Danio rerio: one gene and its partner. The protein of the gene in region 1 purifies or fractionates together with the protein of each later gene. This does not show direct contact. Links are inferred from orthologs where the notes say so. Each region holds a gene or a part of one and is shown in the gene's direction. Other genes may lie near its edges.

Region 1 (3,570 bases):
ATTTCAGTTTAAAGGCTGGATTCTCATTCCTGCAGCCCCAATGGTATGCATTACAATCCATACTGTAAGAGCTAACCTCTCCAAACAACTGAATAACCTGGTAATATACTCTCTGTTGGTGGTTTACACTGCAGCCGTCAGTGTGACAGATAAGTCTGCAGCAGGTCAATAATGTGAGATATTCATGTGTTTGTCAGGTGCTGGGGAAGGACCACCCTGATGTTGCCAAACAGCTAAATAATCTGGCCTTACTGTGTCAGAACCAAGGCAAGTATGAAGAAGTGGAGTACTACTACCAGAGGGCCCTGGAGATCTATCAGACCAAACTGGGCCCCGATGACCCCAATGTGGCCAAGACCAAAAACAACCTGGTACAAACACCCCTCACACTTCACACCATTTATTTAAAGCAGTGTTTCACAGCCATGTTTCTGAAACCCCTTCAGCAATGCACATTTTGCATGTATTTTTTGCCTGACACAACCTTTTTAGGTAACGAGGCAGTGACCTGTGTGTTTGATTAGGGTTAGCATGCAAAATGGGTAGTGTTTACAGTTTACAGATTTACTCATCTCCTTGTTATCCAAGGTGTTAATATCTTTCTTTATCTTCCATATATACCTCTTTTCCTCCAAGGTAGTTTGAGTATCAAAAGACAAAGAACCAATTTGTAATTAGGCTCCAGCTCTGAACCAGAACTCAAAGCACTGGCTCTAAATCAGGATTAAGTTGTTCTCAACAGCACCAAAGCATTCTTGGCTAGGAATAAGAACAGTTTGCATCTGGGCTGAGGGTAGGATTACCTCAACCAATGAGATGCCCAAACTGTTTGGAGTGTCATATATGAAATGGCAGCAGAACATAATGCTTCTAATCTCTGTCAGTGTCTTTGTGCAATAGCATTAACTCTAAACTAGCAACAAATTCTGGTGGAAAAGGGGAAATCGAGGTCTTCAGCGGAGCTCACAAATTACTACTGCAAATAATAATGGTGGTACTACAAAAAATAATGGTGGTCTTTGCCAAAACTCGCCTCAAAAATTTATTCGAAGGTATGAAATAGATATTTGTGTTACAATAGATGATTCCATAGTCATGTGATTATTAGTCTTGCTAAATGATTTTTTCTTTTCGGCCTAGTCCCTTTATTTCTATGGGGTCTCCAAAGTGGAATAAACCCCCAACTTATCCAGCATATGTTTTACACAGCGGATGCCCTTCCAGCTGCAAGCCATCTCTTAGAAACATCCATACAGACTCATTCACACTCATAGATTACGGACAATTTAGCTTACCCAATTCACCTGATTCACATGTTTTTGGACTTGTGGGGGAAACCGGAGCTCTTGCTAAATCAATGAAAAATTTTCTAATCATAATCCAATGCTATAGGGATTTCCTGGGTTTTTTTCGTCTTGGGTGTTTGAAGTGAGAGCACCCTCTGGTATTTTGAAGGAGCTTTACAATTGATCACACAACCATACCTTCATGACAAAATGTACATAGCCATCGCAGCTTTACTCGGTCGTCTTTGCAATTTCTATTTTTTGATTAATTTCTGAGCACTACCATAATGTATGCAGTGCTGACCCACTGTTTCCAAAGCACACAAACAATTTTAAGCAACAAACTGCAGTTTTAGTTCTGTCCAGTCAAGGCGCCTGGTTTGTCTCTACATGACATATATAAAACACCACCAGTTCCCACTTGAACATAGTTGAAACGCCTTTATACAGTGCATTTGGAGAAAATTCATAAAATGTTTTCCCTAAAAAACATAATTTCTTTACAACCAACGAACAAAAGAAAATAATATCTTGGGTGACAAGGGGGTGAGTAAATTATTTGTAATGTTTTGTTTTGAAAGAGAACTAATCCTCTTTAAGGAATCTATCCATATGGTGTGGTCTGCAGTGTTATTTACTGCAGGTTTTCTGTCATCTCAGCAGATTATAAACATAACGTATGCATCATTCTGCTTTTAGTGTAATGGAAGATGCTTTTAGAGTAACAACTTCTCAAACTGTAACATCTTTTACCAGAGTAAGGGTTTAGGGTTTCATCCAGTTATTTTTAGATATGCCTGTATATACCAGTCACAGATATTTATGAGAAAAATAATACCAGTCTTCAAATTAATACCAGCTGAAATTGCACAAACACTAAATGTCAGATACTTATTTTTAATTACTTTAATTAGATTGTATAGAGTCTATCATCTTTTTCCCTGTGTGTAAAAACTCAGTAAGTCTGGACACTGTTTATTTACTATAAATGCTTAAATAAGTAATTGTTAATGATAATTTTTTCTCTCTATCTAAGGCTTCATGCTATCTGAAACAGGGAAAATTTAAGCAGGCAGAGACTCTATATAAAGAGATCCTCACCCGAGCCCATGAGAGAGAATTTGGTTCTGTTGATGGTATGTATGCCTTTTTCATAACTCTTACATCTTCTGAAAAATGTTTTGCAATGTTCTTTATACTTTGTCCCTGTGAACAAGGGGAATTTATTTATGAGGATATTCAGCCATCCCGCAAACGTACATACACCTTGTGGAGTCCCTTTGAACTGGTTGTGGTTTGCCTGATGTGGGGGAATAGAAGCAGTTCACTGTTTCACTCGTTCACTGTGGTGTTAACTTAATTTACAAAAACAGTAAATGCAGATTGCAGAAATGATTTTTCTTGTTGACAGAACCATGAGACGTCATTATGTTTACAATCTTACCGTTTGTAACTTTTTCATTCATCATTTCCAATAAGTGCTGTATTCTTTACTGGATGCATATTTTCCAACTATGGGCAAGGGTTATAATGAAAATGCACTGCATTAACCATGCGTTAATAAAATATATAGGATAAATATAGGAGGCATGCGTTAGTGTCTTAGTGTCCCACCAGTGACGACATACACATATATATATCGCACTGCAGGAATATTGGACGGCTATCAGCCAATCAGTTTAGAGAACCAGACAGAAGTGTTGTATATATTTATATATACACATGCCTTGTCATCATTTACTCACCCTTTACTTGATCCAAACTTCCAAACTTGTTGTTTGACTTCCTTCTGCTAAACACTAAATTTGGAGAAAGCTAGAAGCTGATAACTGTTGACTTTCAAAGCATTTTTTTTTTACTACTATGGAGGTCTTTGTTTTTAGCTTTTTAGCTTTCTTCAGCTTTTATCTTCTTTAGTGTGTAAACTTTCTGTTATCACTCTGGGGTGATTTTGAGTCTTAATTTGGCAACAACTTTTTTTGTGTTTCAGCAAATGGAATAAATTTGGTGACAACCTTTATTTTGACTCCTATTTTGAAAAAAGGCTTTGAGACTCAACTCAACAATACACCATGGACAAATTTACTACCCATTTGTTATGTTTGCGGATGTTTTTGCTCTAATTACTTCCATTATAATAATTTTTCTTTAATCGCAAAGCCATGACACCATATATATCATGCATTCATAATTGCTGCTTGTTTTCCATGGCCATGGTATCATGGCTTTGCAAACAAATATTTTTGTTATAATGAAGGTCAACGAAGCAAAAACAGCCACGAAC
Region 2 (3,570 bases), on another chromosome or scaffold:
AAAAGCGGACCAAATAAGCGTACCGAGACCTGCTTGAAGAGGTGGTCTCGGTAAGCTTTCAAACGAACCCTGGAGCGTTTAGCTTGTGGTGAGAATATGATTCGTACTAAAACAGGTCCAACCGCAAAAAGTACTGCGCATTTTGGACCAATTCAGCTGCCGTAGGCCTATGTGCTGTGCATTATGGGATATGGAGGAAAAATATTTGTTGACAGCGCTTTACTAACAGAGAGGGAGAGAGGGGAAAACATTACCTGATGGATCGTTGGTAATATTTCCGCAAGATGACCATGTCACAGTTTAGCTAAATTAATTCACGTCTCTTCCTGAAGTGACGAGCGATGCATTAAACACTGTTTTCCAGCCGCGGCCGCGCTTCATTCTCGTAATGTATAGTTTGTCTAAAGCAAGGATACAATCAGCCAGCGCAGTCGTCCCTCCAGAGTAAAAGGTTTTGTTTACCTCCGGGAGTTCACTGGCATTTTCCTGCACGTGAATTCTGACCAATCAATAAGCAGTTTAGGAAATATGTTCAACAACATCTGGCCAATGAGAGATGTGATTTTGTCAGATGAGGGCATTTTAGTTCGTTTCAACTGGTTCGGACTAAAGCCAGCAGTGTGGTGTGAAAACAACCCAAAGACGGCATTTGTATCATTTATTACCCTTGGTCCGGACCAAATGAAGCGAACTACATGTGTGAAAGCACCCTTAGTCTTCTAAGGGTTTGTTATCAAAGTCTCTTTTAAGGTGTATTCTATAATATGTTATTATGCGGTCCTGTCGCCATCTTGTAAATGAAAACGTCAACCGCCTTTAGTCTACTACTCAGTATGGCAGACTATGGCCGCCAACGAGCTGTCTCTTAGAATTTGTAAATATTTTAAAATAGGCTCTATTCTTATAAATAAACAGCATAGTTGCAATCTAAACAAGTACATTCTTGACTAAAAAAAGGCTCAAAAGCACATTATGTTGTTCCATAGATATATACACTAGATATCACAAAGGGATCCTGAGCATGTGTCGATAGCGCCGCCATATTTGTACAGTGCTCCCAGGACAAGTGTCATTCAACCGCACTAGTCAAGACAGTGTTATTACGTGAAAATGCTGGACTTTAGCGCTGTCTACGGGTGTAGTAACAAGCAAACAAAGGAAACAAAGCACAGAGGCAGAACATTACATAGGTAAGATTCAGTTTTTTACGTTTTTGTATGTTATGAACTTTTGTGCTGCACAGGTAACGTTACTGATGATAATACAGTCACTTACTGAATTCACCATAAGGCAAAGTAGCATCAACTCACACTAAATACTCTGCTTATGCTAGTTTTGTTGAATAAAATCAGCAAACAATGCAAAAGAAATATGAAAATGAGATGCTGCGCTGCCAAAAACTTGTATTATTGTCGGCTAGTAAAGGAGTTATCAAAACGGAGATTCATTCACAAACGAATAGCTCCCCTCGTCAGTATGAGAAGTGAAAGCAGTAAAGGAGGTGTGTTTCAGGAAGGGTAGATAGTACATTTCCATAAACACAAACATAAGCTTTTTTTCGGGAATGCCTGTGCGATCAGTTGTCCATCAATGTAGAAAAGTGATGTAAAATATAATTTCGTAATTTATAAAAATAATTTAGCATACTGACCTCCGATAAAACTCCCGATCATAGATATATGTATATATGTGTAATTATCTGGCTCTAGATGGCCACAGTCCTCCAGTCTTACCCTGTACTAAAACGGCGGCTCTATTGACGCATACCTTCCAATAGACAACAACAGGGTAGGCGACATCTAATGTATATATCTATGATGTTGTTCAACAGCTGAAATATTTGTCAAACTGTAGACTGTCCTTTGCTTGTTGCTGACTGGATGTGGGCAGAGTAATACACAAAGGGTAAAGAGGCTGTACGGGTGCTGATATTACTTAAATATCTCACAGCTATCAGTCAATCAGATTTAAGAACCAGACAGAACTGTTGTATGTACAGTTGATGTCAGAATTATTAGTCCCCCTGAATTATTAGCCCCCCTGTTTATTTGTTTCCCCAATTTCTGTTTAATGGAGAGATTTTTTCAACACATTTCTAAACATAATAGTTTTAATAACTCATTTTAAATAAATGAATTATTTTATCTTTGCCATGATGACAGAAAATAATATATTACTAGATCTTTTTCAAGACACTTCTATACAGCTTAAAGTGTCATTTAAAGGCTTAACTAGGTTAATTAGGTTAACTAAGCAGGATAGGGTAATTAGGCAAGTTATTGTATAATGGTTTGTTCTGTAGACTATTGAAAAAAATATAGCTTAAAAGGGGTAATAATTTTGTGTCTTAAATGGTGTTTAAAAAAAATTATAACTGCTTTTATTCTAGCTGAAATACAACAAATAAGACTTTCCCCAGAAGAAAAAATATTACCAGACATACTGTGAAAATTTCCTTTTTCTGTTAAACATCATTATTAACATCATTTCTGTACAACATCATCATTATTAAACAAAATTCAAAGGGGTGCTAATAATTCTGACTTTAACTGTGTGTGTATATATATATATATATATATATATATATATATATATATATATATATATATATATATATATATATATATATATATATATATATATATATATATATATAAACTGAATTATTACGTAATTGTTAAAACATTTAATAATCGTTAAAAAATATTTTAAAATTTTACTCCAATCCTCTGTGCCATATGATCCTTCAGAAATAATGTTAATGTTAACTGGTATATAAGCATATAATAATATAGTAGGTATAATACATAATAAATGTACTGTACTTAGATTATCATTATATAATTTGAAGATGGTGGAACAGCTTTTTTGGTAAAAAAAAAAAAAAAAGTGATATCAATGAGGTATGAGAGATAATAAATAAGAATTATTTTATTTATAGAAAGTTAGATGACAGCATTTGTTTCAAACTGATAAATTTTGTAATACTTAAATGTGTTTACTTCACCATTGATAAATTTAACATCATACCACCTGATTACTAGCATTATTGATTTAAATGATTAATTTCTCACAGCATACTTTTAAACTGGAACCTACATGAGCTCATTTAAATGATGTAATTTAAAATGTATTGAAGTGGTTTTTACCTGAGTTCCTGCTGTTTCTCTGTCTTTATTCAGTTGTCAGAGCTGAATGGAGGAATGGAGGAGGAATTCACTATGGCACGGCTCTTCATCAGTAAGATGAAGTCAGAAGTAAAGTCTCTGGTCAACCGCAGTAAACAGCTAGAGAGCACGCAGAGCGACACCATGCGTAAAATGCAGGCCAACGAGAAAGAGCTGGCGTCCTGTCAGATGCTGATTTCTCAGGTACACACAAGCAGTCAACTGCGCCCCCTAGTGATCAGTATCCAGACACATGGGCGATTCTTCTCTTTGATCTCCTGATGATTTTAAAAAGAAAGAAAAAATGTAACGGCTCTATTTTAAATGGTTTGTAAGTTTCATTTTTTCACAGCTTTTTTTCTCATTTTAAGAATAGTGATATATAGATTTTTTTTGCAGATTA

What was found. The genes of interacting proteins can lie anywhere in the genome.
Region 2: the proteins of klc1a (region 1) and kif5c purify together in Homo sapiens (co-immunoprecipitation; 4 studies listed by BioGRID and IntAct, counting the BioPlex papers as one, with this or other methods). This does not show direct contact. The link is inferred for Danio rerio from reciprocal best matches to the Homo sapiens genes KLC1 and KIF5C.

What each region holds. Positions count from the first base shown.
Region 1 is NC_133188.1:17,851,941-17,855,510, forward strand, and holds part of klc1a (kinesin light chain 1), read left to right. Parts: intron 1-197; coding exon 198-371; intron 372-2,322; coding exon 2,323-2,422; intron 2,423-3,570. UniProt on the Homo sapiens protein: Kinesin is a microtubule-associated force-producing protein that may play a role in organelle transport. The light chain may function in coupling of cargo to the heavy chain or in the modulation of its ATPase activity.
Region 2 is NC_133184.1:24,807,831-24,811,400, reverse strand, and holds part of kif5c (kinesin heavy chain), read left to right. Parts: intron 1-3,182; coding exon 3,183-3,371; intron 3,372-3,570. UniProt on the Homo sapiens protein: Microtubule-associated force-producing protein that may play a role in organelle transport. Has ATPase activity. Involved in synaptic transmission. Mediates dendritic trafficking of mRNAs.